Linked DNA regions of Callithrix jacchus. The main gene of each other region encodes a partner of the protein of the gene in region 4 in a complex. Links are inferred from orthologs where the notes say so. Each region holds a gene or a part of one and is shown on either strand. Other genes may lie near its edges.

Region 1 (4,308 bases), on a different chromosome or scaffold from region 4:
GCTGCTCAGGAGGCTGAGGCGGGAAGATTGCTTGAGCCTAGGTTGAGGCTGCAATGAGCTGTGATTGCACCACTGCACTCCAGCCTGGGTGACACAGCAAAACACCCAGTCTCAAGGAAAAAAAAAGGGAGTGAACCGAAATGCACATTGATGGCATAGACAGCAGACTTTTGGAATTTTTAGGCTGAGCCAGAAGAAGGGTGTTGACTGGGGTATCACTGGGACCAGCTCCTCCCGGGCAGTCTCCCAGATGGAGAAAGGATGAGACTCTGTAGTGACGCTATGGGTGCTGTGTGATCCCATCTTGACTGGTCAGAAAACTTCTCGGAGCTGAGACCAAAACCCCATGACAGAATTGGGCAGAAAACGGGACTTTCCGGTTTAAATCAGGACATTTTGCAATCGCGGTGACAGTTTTTGCAACAGAAGCAGTTCTAAGGCAGGACTTCTAGAAGACAATGTTTTGATGCCACTTGGGAGTTTCTAGGGCAAGAAAGGCTCACAAAGCTTTTGTTTGTGGGGGGGTCCAGTAATTTATTACAGTGAAAATACAATTATCGCCCTTGTAATGTCATTTAAGTGTTTTTATTTATTTATTTATTTATTTTTGAGATGGAGTAATAGGTCTGTTGTTGACATAATGGACAGAGCTGTTGGAAGGTTGTGGAAGATTTCCCATGTTGATTTGGAGTGGAGAATAATGAATCCCACTGTGACACAAACTCCTCCACACCACCGGTATATTTACTTTTAAGGGAGAGATCTGAGCCTTTGAGAGGCTAATCATTCAAATTTTAAGTGAATTTCCAGGCACCAAACTATATTCTAAGACACTTTGCTTAGAATCACTCCACAGCCCTCTCTGGGGTGAGCAAGCTGGCAAGAAAGGCCCTTGGTCATCCATGGCTTGTCTGTCAGCTGGCCCCTGATCACAGTGATGGCTGTCACTTCAGTGCTGAGATTATGTTTTGTACAGCACAGTCCTTGAGAAATAAAAAATTCAGAAACCTAAAGGGTTAACGATTTTTTTTTTGAGACGGAGTTTCGCTCTTGTTACCCAGGCTGGAGTGCAATGGCACGATCTCGGCTCACCGCAACCTCCACCTCCTGGGTTCAGGCAATTCTCCTGCCTCAGCCTCCTGAGTAGCTGGGATTACAGGCGCCCACAACCACAAAGCCTGCCTAATTTTTGTATTTTTAGTAGAAACGGGGTTTCACCATGTTGGTTTGGTACTCCTGGCCTCGAATGATCTGCCTGCTTTGGCCTCCCAAAGTGCTGGGATTACAGGCGTGAACCACTGCGTTTGGCCCACTCAGAAGAGCCTTTTTTTTTTTTTTTTTTTTTTTAATACAAGTCTCGCTCTGTTGCCCAGGCTGGAGTGCAGTGGCACTGTCTCGGCTTACTGCAACTCCACCTCTCAGGCTCAAGAGATTCTTCTGCCTCAGCCTCCTGAGTAGCTGGGATTACAGACACCCACCCCCATGCCTGGCTAGTTTATTAGAGATAGGGTATCACCATGTTGGCCAGGCTGGTCTCAAACTCCTGACCTCAGGTGATCCACCTGTCTCAGCGTCCCAAAGTGCTGGGATTACAGGTGTGGTTCACTGTACCTGGCCTGAGCCTACATTCTTATAGGAAAGTGTGAACTGATATAAACAAATACATAATGTATCCGGAAGTCATAAGGAAGTTGGAGAAAAAAATAGCAGAATAATAGGGTTAGCGAGTGCAGGGAATTTGTTTCATATTTTATTTTGTTATTATTATTATTTTTTTTTGAGACAGTCTCACTCAGCTGCCCAAGCAGAGTGCAGTGGCATGATCTCGGCTCACTGCAACCTCCACCTCCCAGGTTCAAGAGATTCTCCTGACTCAGCCTCCCAAGTAGCTGGGATTACAGGTGCACAGCACCACACCTGGATAATTTTTATATTTTTAGTAGAGACGGGGTTTCACCATGTTTGTTGGTGAGGCTGGTCTCAAACTGATGACCTCGTGATCCGCCCGCCTCGGCCTCCCAAAATGCTGGGATTACAGGCCTGAGCCACCGTGCCCAGCCCTTCGTTTCTCACCAACTACGAAGCTGCACTGACACTGCCCCCTTTGAGGTTCCGTTTGTTGAATCCTGCCCTCTAAGGTGCTGCCCACTTCCTCTCCCCGCCCCGTGCTTATGCCATTCCCACTCATCACCTTGTTTTGCAACTGTTGGCGAGTCTGGAAGCTCCACGAAATGGTGGGAAATACGAGACTCAAATATCTGGGGCCGTGTGACGTGGGCAAGTTAGTCGATTTTTCTCAGTTTCCGTTTCCTACCAAGTGGGTTGTTCCGGCAATTCGGGGAGGTAACAGTGCCGGGCACGGCGGGAGGAACCGCCAGTAGCGTCCTCGGACGTCCGCAGAGCCATGGCACGACTGTCAGGGGCGCGTCTGTGGGGAGGAGGGGGTCCCGCCCCCGCACAGCCGTTCCCTCCAGGACCCCTCCCGCCGACGCCCCGCGAACCCCACGCCAGAGCGGAGGGCGGCGCCACTCCGGGGGGGGGGTCTCTGCCCCGGCATCCCGAGGAGAAGGGGCTTCGGGAAGGAGACATGCGGGAAGAGCGACCGAGGATGAAGAGGAAGTGTCCGCAGGGCGCCAGGACGCGCTGGGGTCAAGCGAGACACTCCCTGCGCCTCATTCCCGCCGGGGTCCCGGGCTGACTGAAGAAGGGAGGGAGGCGCCCCACGGCGGCTTCTGCCGAGGGGCTCATAGAAGGCGCGACGGACGCGCCAGACCGACCCCCGAAGCCCCGCCCTCACGCATGCACTTGCGCAGACCGCTCCTAGAAACACATCTCCCAGAGTACCCCGCGAGCACGCGAGCCAGTTGGAGAGGGGATGGACAGGGACCCGTGTCTCCCAGAGGTCTCCGAGTCGCGGCGCCGTTGGTCTGATTGGCAGCCGCGACAGCCTATCGCTGCTTTTCGCCGGAGTTGCCGCGCGCCCTATGTCGGGAATGAGTCGATGTAGTCTCTGGTATCCCGGGCGCGGCGCCGTGAAGTGGAGTCGGCGTGTTTCCTGGCGTCTGGCGGCCCACGAGAATGGGACGTCCCGGGGCTGTGCTGACCCCCAAAAGCCTTCCACCCTTTATTAGCCTGTCGCCCTTTTTCATTCATGTTTACAGCAAACACTTTCCGAGTGCCTACTGTGTCCCACTTACTGTGCCACGTGCGAGTGTGCACGTGTCAGGCAAGACCCCTGTTCCAAGGAGGCCGAGAACAGATAAACGGTAGTTACTAGTCATGACAAAAGCGGTGAAAGGAACAGCTATTTCAGCCCAACAGCAGCACTACCGTTTTCTCAATCAGCAGAGGCAGGCTAGAGCAAGGATTCTCAAACTCTCTGCCCCCCTCAGAACCCTAGAGTACAGTTTCTGAAACTTGTGGCTTTTCCTTTTGAGAAATCTACTAACATAATATGAGCCAGAGAGGTAATGGTTTGGCTCAGAGAAAGCACATGCATCTGGTTTCTTATTTGAGGAGCTTCATAGGCATAGCCCTCTTCCTTCCTCCCCACCTCCCCCAGCTAATGCCAGACCAGCCACGACTTTTTAACTGTTTTAGGTATTGAACCTTCAAGAAGGATTTCCTTTGATCCAAGTGTATTGCAGCCCACAAAAATCTTGGAAAACCAGCTAGATGGTCTGTTTTTCTGGGTCCTACATTCTATTGACGTTCTACCCATCAAGACACTTGTCTTCAGGTAAGCATAAGGAGGGTGTATTCACCTCCATGGTAGTCTCAGGGGCACTTTCGTACACCTATCATGGTGATAATCCTAGAACACTTCCCCACCTGCCACACTTGCCAGTTAGTCAGAAACTATAAATCCCTTAAATGTCTGTCACCAGGGCATTGGCTGAATAAGTTTTGGTAAATCCATTCCATGGACTACACTGCATCCACTAAAAGCAGCGCAGTGCATTTGTGTGCTAATGTGCAAAGATGGTCTATGTATTATTCAATGGAAAAAGCACAATTGCAGTACAGTGCAGATAGTATGATCCCATGTTTGTAAATAACAAAAAAAAAAATTGTTAAAATTTATCTGGAGAGAAACGGAAGAAATAAATATGGCTGGCCGGGCATGGTGGCTCACGCCTGTAATCCAAGCACTTTGGAGGCCAAGGCGAGCGGATCACCTGAGGTCGGGAGTTCAAGACCAGCCTGACCAACATGATGAAACCCCGTCTTAAAAAAAAAAAAAAAAAAAGAAAAAGAAAGAAATATGGCTACCTCTAGAGAGTAGAATTGAGGGTAGGAGTTGGCCTC
Region 2 (4,236 bases), on a different chromosome or scaffold from region 4:
ACTCCTCCAGGAGCTTCAATACGGTGTGAGTAACTTAACCTTTTTGACACGCTTTAACCACAGGGACGACACTATGTAAAATAACCTTGGTTTAACAACTGCGCAGCAAACACCAATCTTTATTATGCTATACAGTCGACAAGAGAGGCGAGGAAAGTTTGTTTTAAAAGGTGTTTAGCTCGGCCGGGCGCAGTGGCTCACGCCTGTTATCCCCAACATTTTGGGAGGCCGAGGTGGGCGGATCACGAAGTCAGGAGATCGAGACCATTCTGGTCAACATGGTAAAACGCCGTCTCTACTAAAAATACAAAAATTAGCTGGGCGTGGTGGTTCCTGCCTGTAATCCCGGCTACTCGGAAGGCTGAGGCAGAGAATCGCGTGAACCAGGGAGTCGGAGGTTGCAGTGAGCCAAGATCGCACCACTGCACTCCAGCCTGGCGACAGAGCGAGACTCCGTCTCAAAAAACAGTGTTTACTCAACTAGTCAGCCTTTACAGCAGTTCTGCCACCGGTGACAGTGAGAAACTGTCAGCTTGGGGAGGCCGCGCGGCGACTGGACCTCGCCCCCGGGAAGCCTCCCCGGACCTAGCCGAGGCCCTCCTCGGAGTCGGTAAGTGCCTGCCCCCACGCTGAAGTGCCTCCTGGCCACGTTCTGAAAGGCAAAAATCCTCCTTCCAGGCTCCGCTCCCTCAACGCGCACCGCCACTCCGACTCCGTCAAAACACTGGTCGCAAAGCCCCTCGTCTGGCCCCCAGCTCCCCCATCTGGACCTCCCCGCTCAAGAATAGGGTAGAGCAAGGCAGGAAAAGACGCACACATCCCAGCCCCCGGCACCCCAGGGCAGCCTCTGTGTTTCTAACTAAAAGCCTCGTACCAGGGGCAAGACCAGATTCGGGCGCTTCCCCCATGGGGAAGCGCGGGCCCCAAGGCGCCCGACCCGGACGCGCTGGCCCTTTAAAGGCACTAGCTTCCTGCGCCCAGAGCCCCTCCCTCGTCACCGCCCGCGCCCGCCCCCGCCGAGGGTCACACTTGAACTTTAGCTCGCCCCGCGCGGCCGGGCGCCGGCGCTCCGCAGGCGGTGGCCGCCCCTTCGCACGTGTCGGAGGCGCCACCTCGGGATCGGGACGCCCGGCCCCCTGAACTCGAGGCCACTCCGGAGAAAACCAAAACAAAGCAAAATGCGCACCGCCTCCCGAAACTGCGTGGCCGGACTTACACCGTCCCCAGCCGATCGCGCTCTGCCAGTCCCCTCCACCTGCAGCCCCGTCCCGGGGCAGGGAGGCTCCGGGGACCCTTTCCGTGCCCTCCCCCGCCGCGCCCGGCGGAAACAGCCTCGCGGCGCGGCGGGAGAGGACCCGCCCTCGCCCCGCGGAGGTCAAGGAGGGAAGGGGCAGCCGAAGCAGTCAGCGCGGGCCGTGGGGGTGCCGCTCCCAGCGAACCCCTTTCTCCTTTCACTGGCAAACTTTTCGGCCGCTCTGACGTCCACTTCTTGACGCACGTTCTTTACTTAGTTCCCCAACGAACCCCTGTCCGCGTCCCACGCGGACTCTGGCGCGCGCGCACACCTACTGCGGTCCCGGACGGACCCGGGCGAGCCCACTGCGACCACCGATTCGCGCCCGCCCTCCTAGGCACGCGCTGCCCTCCTGCCCCGCACCCTCGGGCCGAGCAAACCTGCACAGCTGCGCCCTCGCCTGCCCCACCGCGCCCCCAAGGTCCGGCCGCGCGCCGAGGCCGCTCACCTTCCAGCCCGCGGAGCTGTTGCTGTCACCCTTATCCTTGAAGTAGGGCACGCTCTTGACCATCCACTCGTAGATCTGCGACAGCGTGAGCCGCTTCTCCGCCGAACTCTCGATGGCCTTGGTGATGAGGTCAGCGTAGGACAGGTTGCCCCACGCGTTGCGGCGGGACGAGCTGCTCTTGCGCGGCTGTCCCGCGAGCGGCCCGGCGGCGGCGGGGGGCACTGGTGGGTGCTGCGGCAGCGGCCCGGGCGGCGGGGGCTGCGGCGGCGCTGGGTGCAGGCAGCCCGCCTCCGGGCCCTGGAAGTCCCCGCACAGTCCCCCGGCGGCGGCCACGGCAGCCGCCGCCACCGCCGCCGCCACGGAGCCGGGCGCCTGCGGGAAGTCCTCGTTCTCCTCCAGCAGGCTCAGGTTGCTCATGAACTCAGCGCTGACAGCGGCCGCCGAGGCCGAGGGCAGGCCCGCCGCGGCGTCGGGATTGGCAGCCGCGCCGCCCGACGGCGCCGGGCTGGAGGTGGCCGAACTGGACTGGCTAAACTCCGGCCTGGGCAGCGGCCAGGTGCACGAGCGCGGCCGGGGCAGCGGCTCGAAGTCCGGGTCGATCTCCACCACCTGGGGCGCTTCGGCCATGGTGACCCCCGCCCCTCCCCCAGCCGCGAGAGAGCCGAGAGGGGAAGAGCGCAGCACCGGGGGCAGAGGGCGAGGGGGCGCGAAGAGACGGTCCGGGATTTGGGGGGACGAAGCCGGTGCGCCGAGCGGACGGACACTGGGAGGAAGGCGCGGCGGGGTGCAGGCGCGAGCCCAGAACTTAACTTCGCGGGGCCATCCACATCCAGGCTCCTCGGGGTCTGCCGCACGGACTGGACGGCGGGCCGGAGCCGCCGAGCCGGGGCACAGCCTGCGCCGCGCTCCCGCTGACAGGGCCGCGGACGGAAGGACGGACGGACGCCGCGGCCGCTCGCTTTGCCCGGCGGCGCGCCCGCTGCGCTGCTGCCTGTTGAATGTGGCGGCGGCGGCGGCGGCGGCTGCAGCAACTACGAGGCCGCCCGACTTACGGGATCTGCCGCCGCCCCCCGCCCGCGGCGACGCGCGCGCCGGCCCGCCCCTGACCGACAGTTCGCGCAGCCAATGGGCACGCGGCACCGCCGCCCGGGCAGCCAGTGCGCTCCGGGCTGGGCGGGGCCCGGTTTTCCGCCGGGAGGCGGCAGTGGGCTGGTGGGGGTAGCGGGGTGTTTTTCTCTTTCACACACCTTTTTTATTTTTTTTGGATCTCTGTTATTTTCTGGTAATTCTCGAGTGTTTCTGTGATTCTCTCGCCTTCTCAGTGTTTTGATTGCTAGGAAGCAAACCAGCGTGGAGGTGGCGGCGACACTTTGTTTACTACGGAGCTGCAGAGCCGAGTACTCTGGAAGCCCGGGTGGGACGAGGCGCTCGCTACGCCCTGACCTCGGCTGCGGGCCGAGTCCCGCGAGCGGGCAGGGCCGGGGGCCGGGGGCGCGGGGTGGACGGGCGGAGGCGGCCGCGCAGAATTCTACCCAGTAGCTCCCTCCTGGCTCCACCCACGAAGTCTTTGCTGAGCAACGTGGGGAATCGCTGGGTTTTGTTTTGGTTGAATGTTTTCTTTCGCTGCGATCTGTCAAGTCCTCCGGCCCCCGCACGGGCGGCACGCGCCCCCCGCCCCAGGCGCCGCGGCCCCCCGCGGTGGAGTCCGCGCCTAGGGTGCCTTCTCCGCGCCCCGCGCCCACCTGTCCGCACCCCCGGGCTCAGCCTGTGCCTTTCTGTCTAGCTGCGGACGCGTCGCCCAGCCGAGCAGCCCCCAGCCGGATTTACTGTATCCTTGACCTTTTTTAAAGGGCTAAACGTGAGGAACTGGGACTCCGGCGCCCGGAGGAGGTACTCCGGTCTCAGTGCAGACAGGGATCCAAAGGCACCCGCAACCGCCTGCCCTCCGTGGGAACTTCTTCCCCTGGGCGGGAACTTCCAGCTTCGTCCACTGAGTTCAGGGCCCGCAGCGAAGGGCTTAGGAACGCAGTTATCGAGAACCAAGACACTTTACTACCTACCCCTAATTAAATTTAACTGTTTGTTATTTTATATTTACAACGGAAGTGATCGGGTGTTAAGTAAAAACGGCGGGGGGGGGCGGGGGATAGGACCAAAGCCTTGGGGCGCAGCCTGCCCCACCCCCAAGTTCTTGAGGCTACTTGCTGTGTGCGTCAGTCAAACCCCCACCCACACCCCATCTTTCCTCATCTGGGCTGCAGGTCCAGGACATCCTGTCAAGGATCAGTGGGGCCAAAGGTAGGAAGATAATGGCCCTTGTGTCTCAGGGAGCAGAAGAAACAGTTTTCCAGTTTTGTTTTGTTATGCCTTTGCTTTTTTAGGAAGAATATGGAAGGCATTTCCTTTTAGAGGGATGGGACCACTCAGAATAGAAGATGGACAGTAAGGTTTTTAATATCTTGCCCAAAAGGACAGCTTCCAACTCTTAAAAAAA
Region 3 (4,231 bases), about 9.3 Mb from region 4:
GTGCTTTTTCTTCTTCTTTTTTTTTTTGAGACAAGGTTTCACTCTGTCACCCAGGCTGGAGTAAAGTGGCACAATCATGGCTCACTGCAGCCTCGACCTCCCAGGCTCAAGTGATTCTCCTGACTCAGCCTCCTGAGTAGCTGGGACTACAGATGTACACCACCATGTCCAGCTAATGGTTTTACATTTTTCTGTAGAGATGGGGTCTTGCTATGTTGCCCAGTCTGGGTCGTGCTTATTCTGGAATAGGGCTCACTCCTGCCCTGTCTCTTACTCACCTGCAGGTGGAGGCAGTGACAGTGTTACCAGTTTCTTTTATGTCTTTCCACGTAAATGTTATGCATGATCCTTCTCCTCCTCCTCAGATACTCGCACACAGATAAATTTGAAGGAGCTTTACGGTGGGAAAGGGAGGAACGTGGAGCCTATTTTAAGGTTAAGGGAAAAAGGTTTCTGCAGTTTTCTTCGAGGTAACATCTTGACACTGGAGAGCAAAGGAAGTTGTAAAATGCATTCGAAGTTAAGCTGCTTGGTCACAATTAAAAACTCTTCAGTTCAGTGAAGATGCCCCTGGAAGCCCACTGGGTTATCTTTTTTGGGGAAGGACAAGGAGGTCATTTAGTCATTTGCTCTACAAATGACTCATACCTTGCCCCTTTGACTTCACAGTTATACTGGAGAGAAGTTCTTCATATCAGTATGTAAAAAAGCAGCCTTACCCCTTTGTATGGCTGTGTATTTCCATAGGGTCGTACCGTAATATATGTAGCATTTGTTTTCAGTCTTTGCAAAGCTCTGAGAGTCACTGGGCATACCCAGCACAGGAGATGAAGATGAGGTACTGAGTGAAGACTGCTCGGTCAGCTAGGCTGATTAAATTTGCAAGGTGAAGTGAACAATCCCCTCCCTGCAGGTTTTAAGCAGGCAACAAAACTCTCAAGGATGGCTCTGTTTTAGTTGCTCTTGGAGGCAGGGGTTGGTCAGCAAGACCCAAAACACCCATCTGGTTGGATTGAAAGTGGCAAAATTAAATAGGCAGGAGGTGCTCAGCTTGCAGAGGCTCCGGAGAGACTCATCCCAAAGGGCTCACCCACCCTAGTGCGCAAGCAGCCAGAGGCGCCTGGAGAGAGAAGATGGGTTGACTGGGTAGGGGTCGCTGAGGCCCAGTCCAGGCTCTAGGGTCTGGAGGAGAGCAGCCTGGAAGCTCTGACCGTCCCTACTCTGGCACAGCCCTACCTTGTGCCAGGCTGTCTGAGCACAGTGAAGAAGGCTCCGCGCCCAGCCTGGTGGACAGAGATGAAAGGGACTTAGACCCAGAGCATGTCCTGCTCCCCTCCAGGGTCTTCCTATTCACCACTGAATCCCCAGCAAAAGAGCCTTAGACACAGTAGGTGCTCAACAAATCCTTGTGGAGCAAATGACTAAATGACCTCCTTGTTTCCCCCCTAAAAAGATAATAACCCAATGGGCTTCCAGGGTGGTTTATGATTGTAACTGAGCAGCTTAACTTCAAATGCACTTTACAACTTCTTTTTCCCTTTCTCTTTCTCTTTAGTCTCAAGATGTAGCCTTAAAGCAAACGGCAGGAGCCTTTTCCCTTAACCTTAAAATAGACTCCACGTCCCTCCCTTTCCCACCATAAAGCTCCTTCACGTTCATCTAACTATGTGCTAGTATCTAATTATGTGCTTACTTAGAAGTTCCAGGCCAGATGTGGTGACTCATGCCTGTAATCCCAGCACTTTGGGAGGCTGAGACAGAAGAATTCCTTGAACCCAGGAGTTTGAGACCAGCCTGGGCAACATAATGACACTCTGTCTCTAAATAGTAATAGTAATAATAATAATAAAAGAAGTTCCAGGGGCTAACCTAGAGGCAGACAGACCAAGCCTAGAGGCCCAGCGGCAAATTTCAAGAGATTACCTCCAGGCAGCCAGCAACTCAGCGACTTGCTGAGATGACGTCAGCCTGTGCTCTGGGGGCTGAGACCCCGAGTTAGCCATGGAGACATGACACACAGACCTTGTACCCGTACAACTCCTGCATGCCTCCTATACCAAGTTTCCCCTCTTTTTTTTTTTTTTTGAGACGGAGTTTCACTCTTGTTACCCGGGCTGGAGTGCAATGGCACAATCTCAGCTCACCACAACTTCTGCCTCCTGGGTTCAGGCAATTCTCCTGCCTCAGCCTCCTGAGTAGCTGGGATTACAGGCATGTGCCACCATGCCCAGCCTTTTTTTTTTTTTTGAGACAGAGTCTTGCTTTGTCACCTAAACTGGAGTGCAGTGGCATGATCTCGGCTCACTGCAACCTCTGCCTTCCAGGTTCAAGCAATTCGCTTGCCTCAGTCTCCCAAATAGTTGAGATTACAGCCATCTACCACCACGCCAGCTAGTTTTTGTATTTTTAGTAGAGACAGGGTTTCACCATGTAGGTCAGGCTGGTCTCGAACTCCTGACCTCAGGTGATCTGCTTACCTCAGCCTCCCCAAGTGCTGGGATTACAGGCGTGAACCACCAGGCCCAGCTGAGTTTCCCTTCTTAAACCTTTGCCTTCACCCAAGAAAGCCACAGTGGTTGCTTTTGAAGTGAATCCACCCACTCTGCCATTGCTAGGTGGGGTAAATGAAGTTACTTTCTACCATATTTTGCTCTTGTTACTGGGCTTGACTCTCCAAGTGGCATTGGCTGGACCTGCCTGGGTTACATGGTCATAAAGTAACTTGGTATTGACCCCGCACTCCTCACATGCTTATTCCATGCACGAAGTTCTCTCTCGGCAACTCGGTGAGGTTTGCTCATCACGCTTAAGCCATCAGAAGTCCCATGATCACTTGAGGTCACTGTGGTGGGTGCTGTGGTGGGTGCTGTGTGGAGCTGCCACAACCCCCTTTAGGAGGAGACACTCACGCCCCCAGCTGCTGTGGGTGTCTCTCTTCTGGAATTGCCTTCTGTGCCTAGGAGCTGCCTAGCACCTGACTGTGTCCCCTTCTGAGGACAGCCACATCCAGTGTGGGGCAACAGAGGCCAGGTTGCCTCGCCTGAATGCAGGACAACTCTGAGGCCCTTCCCCAGCCCCCAAGCTACCCCATGCATTGCCTGAAACCTTGTGGCAACTGCATCTGAGCCCCACACTCCCTCCCAGGTGGGCTTCCTGAGAACACCTTCCCCCGCACCCCCCCATAAACCTCCTGCAGGTAAATCTCCATCTAAGAATCAGTTTCCAGGAACCAGGCAAAAAACAGTCACCAAACATTCTCAATTCAGGAGTTGGAAAGTTTGCTCCCATGCAAGACTTGGTTTTATAAAGGGAGATCTTCATCCTTTCCTATGAGGTTATGCAGGTGCAAGGCTTAGAGCTGTGCAAGGGAGGTGCCTGGCTTATTTCTTTCCCCTTCTGCCGGCTGCAGCTTGCAGCTGGTAATCTCCAACCCATAGTGAGTGGAATAATGGCACCCAAGAGATAGCAGGTCCTTGGAACCTGTATGATAGATACAGTGAAGTTCTTCCTCAAAAAGGAAGGCAATTAAGTCAAATAAGGCATATTCTGTTCCCTTGTTCTTTAATTTCTAAAGGCCTAACCCACTTGTTTCCTGATCTGCGTGGGCATGCCTGGACATGCCCAGGCATGTCCTAGCTTGTAACATATACTCCTTTCCTTATTTGGACATGTTATTGCTTTCCTAGTCTTTTCACAAACACTTTCTCCCTTTCTTTGTTCTCCGTTGCCTTCATCTATTTAGGAAACTTTTCAGCTTTTAGCCAATCGGGGTTTAGCTTAGACTGTGCCGTCCAGCTCCAGACAACGGAGGCTGGACACAGTACTAGAAGCCCCATGTGTTAGGGATAAAAAGCCCTCCTCTCCTTTGTTCGGGTGATCTCATGCAAACAGGCTTATAGGCAGCACCCTTCTGCAGAAGTAAAGTTGCCTTGCTGAGAATTTCTTTGAGTGATCATTTTCTTTGTGATGCTGAACTTCTACTTCCAACTCTGTAAGTTATCTCATACAGAAAGAGTCTTTGTTTGCAGACGTGATTGAAGACCTTGGGATGGGGAAATTGTCCTGGACTGTCTGGATGGGCTCCAAATATCATCACAAGTGTCCTTACAAGGGAGATACAGAGGGAGATTTGACACACACAGAGAAGAAAGCCACGTGACCAGCGAGGCAGAGACTGGCATTGATGCAGCCACTAGCTGAGGAATGCTGGCAGAAGCTAGAGGAGGAACTC
Region 4 (3,244 bases):
AATACAAAAAATTAGCTGGGCATGGTGGTGTGCCTGTAATCCCAGCTCCTCGGGAGGCTGGGGCAGAAGAATTGCTTGAACTGGGAGGGGTGGAGGTTGCAGGGAGCCAAGATTTTGCCACCGCACTCCAGCCTGGGCGACAGAGCGAGACTCCTTCTCAAAAAAAAAGAGAAGGAACAGGGAAACTTCTGAGACAGGCTGGGGGAGGCATCACGTAGCTGGGATTGCTGCCCCATAAAACAGAATGATATGTGTCACTGCCACCTACCTTCCTCAGTCCTCTCCCTCCCCAGGTTGCTAGCGTCCCCCCTGGGGGATCAAACTGGACTGCTTCCCAGCCTCAGACAAGAGGGCAGTCTGAGTCAGGCAGGAAAGTGGGACAGCTGGGGAGCTGGACCCCACCCTCTGGAAGCCCCGCTGGTACCTGATGGCATATGGCTTGGAGAGGGCAGGTGACCTGGCATGGAGGGCCAGAGGGTAAGTCCTCAAACAAGTGGCAACAGGCCACCAACTTGAAAGGGAAAATTGTGTAGTGATGGGAAATGTGTTCAACAAACCTACTGGGTGACTAATTACAAAGGCTGGGCTGGAGCGTCAGAGGCTGCTTGTTAAACACTTTATTAAGTGGCACTCCGAAAGCTGCCACCTGTGCATTCTGGGAGCTCAGAGGGGACCCATCTGGGGGATGGAACTGTCTTCAGGTAGACTGAGGAAGCAGCCTGGATCTCATTTCCAAACACAGCCTGGAGCTCATAGGTCAGAGGCCTCATGGGAGAAAATCTAAAGGAGGTAGGGTGCAGAAAAGAGTTTCAGGGAATTGGTGGCTATGTGACTTTGAGCAAATCTCACCCCTCTCTGAAACTTAGTGTACCCATCTCTATGGTCCTGTGTATGTCACAGAGACATGGAGGGGATTAAAGTTGATCATGAATATAAAAGTGCTTGAGAAACTGTATAGCCCTACCTATACATGAATTATTCTCCCCTGAACCAAGCGGGGGAAGTTACCTCTCCGGATTAGGAACCCCATCCTCCTGAACCTTTATGAGCTCTATCAAGGCTGAAGCAGCCAGGGGCTAAAGCCATCCTTAGCCCCTGGAAGGGCACTGTGAAAGAGGATCTGATATGAGAAGCCAGGCAGCTTCCTGATGTGGGCAGTCATGTAATGCCAGTCCTGAACAAGAGGGGGCAGCGTGGAGCCCAGAAAGGCACCTGTGCAGGTGGGGCCAACGCCCAGATTTCTCCTGCTGACTGTCCTGATGACTCACTCCCACATCCCAACCCTTTTACCTTTCATGCAGAGCCGGAAAGGGTGTGGGGAGGAGAGGAGAGGGAGGCAGGTCTTGGGCCCTGGTCCTGCCCCCTGCTCCTCCCCACCCTTCTCAGGGCCTGGCCACCCAGCCAAAAGGCAGGCCGAAAGCAGGAGAGGCACAGAGTCCGGGATTGGTCCCAGGCAGCAGTTACCCGCCGCCCTCCTGTCTGTTCCCAGAGCCATGGAGAGAGCCAGTCTGATCCAGAAGGCCAAGCTGGCAGAGCAGGCCGAACGCTATGAGGACATGGCAGCCTTCATGAAGGGCGCCGTGGAGAAGGGCGAGGAGCTCTCCTGCGAAGAGCGAAACCTGCTCTCTGTGGCCTACAAGAACGTGGTGGGTGGCCAGAGGGCTGCCTGGAGGGTCCTGTCCAGCATTGAGCAGAAAAGCAATGAGGAGGGCTCGGAGGAGAAGGGCCCCGAGGTGCATGAGTACCGAGAGAAGGTGGAGACTGAGCTCCGGGGCGTGTGCGACACTGTGCTGGGCCTGCTGGACAGACACCTCATCCAGGAGTCTGGGGACGCCGAGAGCCGGGTCTTCTACCTGAAGATGAAGGGCGACTACTACCGCTACCTGGCTGAGGTGGCCACCGGTGACGACAAGAAGCGCATCATTGACTCGGCCCGGTCAGCCTACCAGGAGGCCATGGACATCAGCAAGAAGGAGATGCCGCCCACCAACCCCATCCGCCTGGGCCTGGCCCTGAACTTTTCCGTCTTCCACTACGAGATCGCCAACAGCCCCGAGGAGGCCATCTCGCTGGCCAAGACCACCTTCGACGAGGCCATGGCTGATCTGCACACCCTCAGCGAGGACTCCTACAAAGACAGCACCCTCATCATGCAGCTGCTGCGAGACAACCTGACCCTGTGGACGGCTGACAACGCCGGGGAAGAGGGGGGCGAGGCGCCCCAGGAGCCCCAGAGCTGAGTGTTGCCCGCCACCAGCCGGCCCTGCCCTGCCCCCTCCAGTACCCCACCCTGCCAAGAGGACTAGTATGGGGTGAGAGGCCCCACCCTTCTCCCCCAGGCGCTGTTCTTGCTCCAAAAGGTTCCATGGAAAGGGACTGGCAGAGCCGAGGCCACCTGGGGCTGGGGATCCCACTCTTCTCGCAGCTGTTGAGCACACCTAATCACTGGTCATGCCCCACCCCTGCTCTCTGCACCCGCTTCCTGCCGACCCCACGACCAGGCTACTTCTCCCCGATCTTGCCTCCCTCCTGCCCCTGCTGCCTGATGTTAGGAATTGAGGAGTAAGTGTCCCGCCTTGTGCCTGAGAACTGCACAGTGGTAGGGGCTAGAGATTGTGTGTGTGTGTGTGTGTGTGTGTGTGTGTGTGTGCGTGCGCTTGCCAGTGCAAGATCGAGATTGAGGGAAAGCATGTCGGCTGGGTGTGATCATGTTTCCTCTCAATAAAGTTCCCCTGTAACACTCCTCCTGTCTCTTCCAGTTCTTGGCGATGGGCTGGGAGTGGGACTGGAATCTGATTTAGAGACCCTGAACTTGGACCTGAGTTAGGACCCTGACCTCCCTGGGTGCTCAGTGACCCGCACGCAAGACTTTGAGTCCAGGTGAGGCCGGGGTCCAGCTCTGTCCTTCAGGGAGGCCCCACACTGGACGGGCCCGGAAGGGGCCGGTGAACCCACAGGAGGCGCCAAGGCTCCTCTGCCGGGCTGAGGGGAGGTGAGTGGGAGCCGCGAGGTTGACGAGCTCAGGTGGGGCGGGGCAGGAAACAGTGAAGTCTCCGGCGTGAGATCTAAGGACAGCGCCGCAGTAGCGAGCGGCACTGAGCACCCGATTTGCAAGCAGGTCACAGTCTCATCACGGGCTCCGATCTCAGCGGAGGGGAATACCATCTGAGTGAGGCAGAGGTATAGCGCAACCCTAAAACCCCAGATCTCAGGAGAGAGTCGTGTCCCACAGAGTTCGGAGATG
Region 5 (4,007 bases), on a different chromosome or scaffold from region 4:
GGGGGATAGAGAAGGGAGGCTGGAGTGGATGCTTGCCTAGGCATAATTTAATTATTTATTTATTTTGAGATGGAGTCTCACTCTGTTACCTAGGCTGGAGTGCAGTGGCACAATCTCAGCTCACTACAACCTCCGCCTCCCAGGTTCAAGCAATTCTCCCTGCCTCAGCCTCTGGAGTAGCTGGGATTACAGACACATGCCACCACCACACCCAGCTAATTTTTGTATTTCTTAGTAGCAGTGGGGTTTGCCATGTTGGCCAGGCCGGTCTTGAATTTCTGATCTCAGGTGATCCACCCACCTAGGCCTCCCAAAGTGCTGGGATTACAGGTATGAGCCACCGCACCCAGCCTAGGCATAATATTTAATGTATATTTGAGATCCGTCTTGGGACCATCTCCCTCTCTTATCCCAGCTAAGATGTTGAGAGTACAGACTCCTGGTTATAATTCTAACTCCACTAGCTGCTTACTAGCTGTGTTTATCTAACTTCTCTGGGCCTCAATACTCTTTAGTCGCTATGCCAATGACTGTGGGACTCTGTGTGACTCCGGGAGTGTGTCCATCAGGTGAGTAGGATTTCTATAAATCGAGGACCATTGGTGCTTGACCATGGTAGGAAACTTCCTGAGGTACTGTAGGGAGCAGGTGGCTCTCTTTAACTGCAGGACTGACCCGCGGGTGTTTTTACCGCGGCTGGCGAGTGTCTGCTCAGGAATAAATGGATGGGTGAGGCCGAGTGAAGGAGATTACGCCCCCGCCCCCGGGCTTCCCATCCCCAGCCTTGTAAAGGGGAGGGGACAGTGGTGTGGCTAGCGGGAAGGAGTGCTTTGGTGTTTACAGGCCCAGACTTGAACTGAATCCTGGCTTTGCGACTTACGAGCGGCAGGATCCTGGGCGAGTTCATTTACTCAGTTCCTCTTTGTAAAACGGAGCTGGTAATACCCATCTTCCCAACCCTACCCCAGATGTTTGTGTTGAAGAGTAAGCGGAACCCTTGATTCCAGAACCTAGTGCAGCTAGCGCCACTTGCCCCAGGAGCCGAGGGGGCGGGGGTTGGGGATGCCGGGTTCTGGCCGCGCAGAGGCTGCACGTGGGCGCCAAGCCCCCCCGCCGGTGCCTCCCGCGCGCACTCGGGATCCAGCGCCAATTTACACCAATCCCGGAGCAGAGGACGGCTTGTGCGTGAGGGGGCCGGGCGGCTTCAGAGAAGGCGGAGTCCGAGCGGAAAGCGAAACCGAGAGCTAGCTCTCCAGAAGCCGAGGGTCTCCGGCTGACAGCGGTGGCAGTGGCAGCGGCGCAGGTGAGCCGGGCCGTGGGCAGCCGAGGGAACGCGGGGGGCGGGGGATGGGGATGGGGGCGCGGCGGGCCAGGGGCTGCGGGCCCAGCCGGGGCAGGACCCGCCGATCCCGCGTCCCCAGCTCCGAACGCCGACGCTGATCCGCAGTCCCTGGCCCGGGTTGTGTCAGCAGTGGGAGCGCAGTCCCAGGCCCACAGCCCGGGTGCAGCCCTCTCCGAATCCAGGAAAAGGATCGTAGAGTTGGGTGGGGACTCAAAGCCATTTCCGTCCCGCAAAACATTTTTATCAGTGCAAGTAACATATTTCCCAGGCAGCAGTCGGGGGGCGGAGTCTAGTGGAAGACCAATAGGCCTAGTGGCTTGACACATGGAAATTATGGAGGCCTGAAATACTCATAGACTGCGTAAACAATCTCTGGCTAAAAATCTCTTGCATGGAGAGTTGCAGTAGTTTCCCAACTGCAGTTCCTATTCCCACTCGTCTCCTCACCCCCAGCCTCCACCCACTACCTCTTCTCCACACCTCAGCAACCGTAGTGTTCCTTTAAGTAAGAACCAGATGCTCCCCTGCTCAGACCTTCCCCATAGCTTTCCTGTCTCATCAGAATCCTATAAATGTTTATTAAGACTCACAGGCAAGGCCTCTTGCACCTCTACTCCGGCCACACTGGCTTCCTTGCTGCTCCTGGTGCAAAGCCAAGCATCCTCCCGCCTCTAAGCCTTTGCATTGCCTGTTTCTTCTTCCTGGAAAGCTTTTCCTCCAGACACCTGCATGGGGAAAGCCCTCCCTTATCCTGGACTGCTTCCCATGCCAGCTTATCAGAGCAGCCTTCCCCAAACAGCTTGCATATACAAGAAACCCCACTCTGCCCTCACTGCTCCCCCTTCCACTACCTCGGTTTTCAACATAGTGCTGATCACCCTCTGACATTTTCTTGTGGGTTGTTCCTCCACTGGTAATCTCACAATTACCTATAGCAGGGTTCACTGGTATAGCCCCGCACCTAGTACATAATAGGTGCTCATTAAATATTTGTTAAATGAATGGTAATTTGTAAACTCCCTTTTGAATTCCAAAATAATGAGGCTTCCTATTGCCCATGTTTCATTCTTTCCTACCTTCCCTCCCTTCCTCTTTTCTTTCTTTTCTCTTTCTCTTCATTTTCTTTCTTTTCTCCTTCCCTCTCTCTTCCTCTCTCTCTTTCTCCCTTTCCCTTTCCTTCCTTCCCTTTCTTTCCTCTACCCTTCCCCTTCTCCCTCTCCCCTCCCCTCCCCTTCCCTTGCCTCCCATCCTCTCCCCTTCCCTCCCCTCTCTTTTCAAGATGGAATCTCACTCTGTCACCCAGGCTCCAGTACAATGGGGTGATCTTGGCTCACTGCAACCTCTGCCTCCTGGGTTCAAGAAATTCTCCTGCCTCAGCCTCCTGAGCAGCTGGGATTACAGGCACACACTACCATGCCAAGCTAATTTTTATATTTTTAGTAGAGAACAGGGTTTCACCACATGGGCTAGATCACATGGGTAGATCACCATGAGGCGATCTACCTGCCTCGGCCTCCCAAATTGCTGGGATTACAGGCATGAACCACTGCCCCTGGCCCCATGTTTTCCTTAGTACTAAAAATGCTTTGCCAGATAGAAGCTAAAAGACAGGCTCTCTGCTGTCACTTAGGAATTTAGAATGTTGGGCAAATAATGCTGTTGTTTTTCAGTTTGCTTATTTGAACCTGGAGATCCCAAATACTTGACTATTTATTTATTTATTTATTTAAGACAGAGTCTCACTCTGTTACCTAGGCTGGAGTGCAGTGGTGTGATCTCAGCTCACTGCAACCTCCATCACCCAGGTTCAAGTGATTCTCCTGCCTCAGCCACCCAAGTAGCTGGGATTACAGGCATGCACTACCATACCTGGCTAATTTTTGTATTTTTAGTAGAGATGGGGTTTCACCATGTTGGCCAGGCTGGTCTCAGACTCCGAATCTCTGGTGATCTGCCTGCCTTGGCCTCCCAAAGTGCTGGGATTACAGGCATGAGCCACCGTGCCCAGCCGTTTATTCATTTATTATTCAGATACTAGTTGAAGGCATGATCTATGTGAATCAATGTGCTGGCCCTAGATGGAGACTGTAATCTGCTAGAAGCGAGTGAAGAAATAGCCAAAGTAATTTCTGGGCATTAGTAAGATGGACAAATATTATTTTTTAGTGATTATGATAGAGATTTCTTCCAGATGAGTAAATAAGATGTAGAATCTGCTCCCCAAAGAGCTTACTAATTACTTTAAAAAGCAGTCAGGGCTGTGATGAGGGTTGGGTAAGGTGGAATGACAGGTCCATGGAGGGCTACTAGCTGAGTCTCCAGGATCGAAGGAGGATGTGTTGATCTTGATAGATGAGTGGAGATTGCTGGGTCCAGAGAGAATGTAGATATTACAGTATAAATGTAGAGAAAAACAGGTGATACATTCTGGAGAGGGTATCTGGAGAGATTTTGGTCCTCATTCATTCATTGTGGAGCCTGGTCCTTTACTTCTAGTAATTCATGCTCTATTTTGGAAAATAGTTAAACAAGCAGTTTTAATAAAGAGCATGCGCATTATGAAAGAGCCTGTGAAGGAGTGTCTGGGATTTTGAGCTGAAATCTGTAGGAAGTAGAAATTGACTGGGCCAAGACAGCAGAAGGAGTGGAGTCAAGAGCATTTTAG

What was found. Proteins that work in one complex are often made in the same cells at the same time.
Region 1: the proteins of SFN (region 4) and MEFV are in contact, whole or in part, in a crystal structure (PDB 8C28), measured with the Homo sapiens proteins. The link is inferred for Callithrix jacchus from reciprocal best matches to the Homo sapiens genes SFN and MEFV. Residues at the interface, in NP_006133.1 of Homo sapiens: Glu14, Cys38, Asn42, Leu43, Ser45, Val46, Lys49, Arg56, Arg60, Glu115, Phe119, Lys122, Arg129, Tyr130, Pro167, Ile168, Gly171, Leu174, Asn175, Val178, Tyr181, Glu182, Asp215, Ile219, Leu222, Asn226, Leu229, Trp230; in NP_000234.1 of Homo sapiens: Arg205, Asn206, Ala207, Ser208, Ser209, Ala210, Gly211, Arg212, Leu213, Gln214, Gly215.
Region 2: the proteins of SFN (region 4) and FOXO1 are in contact, whole or in part, in a crystal structure (PDB 8A62), measured with the Homo sapiens proteins. The link is inferred for Callithrix jacchus from reciprocal best matches to the Homo sapiens genes SFN and FOXO1. Residues at the interface, in NP_006133.1 of Homo sapiens: Tyr19, Ser45, Lys49, Asn50, Arg56, Arg60, Lys122, Asp126, Arg129, Tyr130, Glu133, Gly171, Leu174, Asn175, Val178, Tyr181, Glu182, Leu218, Ile219, Leu222, Asp225, Asn226, Leu229, Trp230; in NP_002006.2 of Homo sapiens: Pro20, Arg21, Ser22, Cys23, Thr24, Trp25, Pro26, Leu27, Pro28, Arg29.
Region 3: the proteins of SFN (region 4) and PADI6 are in contact, whole or in part, in a crystal structure (PDB 4DAT), measured with the Homo sapiens proteins. The link is inferred for Callithrix jacchus from reciprocal best matches to the Homo sapiens genes SFN and PADI6. Residues at the interface, in NP_006133.1 of Homo sapiens: Lys49, Arg56, Arg60, Lys122, Arg129, Tyr130, Gly171, Leu174, Asn175, Val178, Tyr181, Glu182, Leu222, Asp225, Asn226, Leu229, Trp230; in NP_997304.3 of Homo sapiens: Phe443, Tyr444, Pro445, Ser446, Ala447, Glu448.
Region 5: the proteins of SFN (region 4) and EIF2AK2 are in contact, whole or in part, in a crystal structure (PDB 7OBK), measured with the Homo sapiens proteins. The link is inferred for Callithrix jacchus from reciprocal best matches to the Homo sapiens genes SFN and EIF2AK2. Residues at the interface, in NP_006133.1 of Homo sapiens: Lys49, Arg56, Lys122, Asp126, Arg129, Tyr130, Glu133, Gly171, Leu174, Asn175, Val178, Glu182, Leu222, Asp225, Asn226, Leu229, Trp230; in NP_001129123.1 of Homo sapiens: Asn546, Glu547, Arg548, His549, Thr550, Cys551.

The regions. Positions count from the first base shown.
Region 1 is NC_133513.1:5,411,142-5,415,449, forward strand, and holds the start of MEFV (pyrin), read right to left. Parts: upstream 2,802-4,308; 5' UTR 2,192-2,801; exon of another isoform or gene 2,139-2,191; intron 1-2,138. UniProt on the Homo sapiens protein: Involved in the regulation of innate immunity and the inflammatory response in response to IFNG/IFN-gamma.
Region 2 is NC_133506.1:159,848,054-159,852,289, forward strand, and holds the start of FOXO1 (forkhead box protein O1), read right to left. Parts: upstream 2,802-4,236; 5' UTR 2,370-2,801; coding exon 1,743-2,369; intron 1-1,742. UniProt on the Homo sapiens protein: Transcription factor that is the main target of insulin signaling and regulates metabolic homeostasis in response to oxidative stress.
Region 3 is NC_133508.1:54,253,184-54,257,414, reverse strand, and holds the start of PADI6 (inactive protein-arginine deiminase type-6), read right to left. Parts: upstream 2,802-4,231; coding exon 2,748-2,801; intron 1-2,747. UniProt on the Homo sapiens protein: Structural constituent of cytoplasmic lattices, which plays a key role in early embryonic development. Cytoplasmic lattices consist in fibrous structures found in the cytoplasm of oocytes and preimplantation embryos.
Region 4 is NC_133508.1:63,511,708-63,514,951, forward strand, and holds SFN (14-3-3 protein sigma), read left to right. Parts: upstream 1-1,430; 5' UTR 1,431-1,493; coding exon 1,494-2,240; 3' UTR 2,241-2,743; downstream 2,744-3,244. UniProt on the Homo sapiens protein: Adapter protein implicated in the regulation of a large spectrum of both general and specialized signaling pathways. Binds to a large number of partners, usually by recognition of a phosphoserine or phosphothreonine motif.
Region 5 is NC_133515.1:77,831,444-77,835,450, forward strand, and holds the start of EIF2AK2 (interferon-induced, double-stranded RNA-activated protein kinase), read left to right. Parts: upstream 1-1,206; 5' UTR 1,207-1,303; intron 1,304-4,007.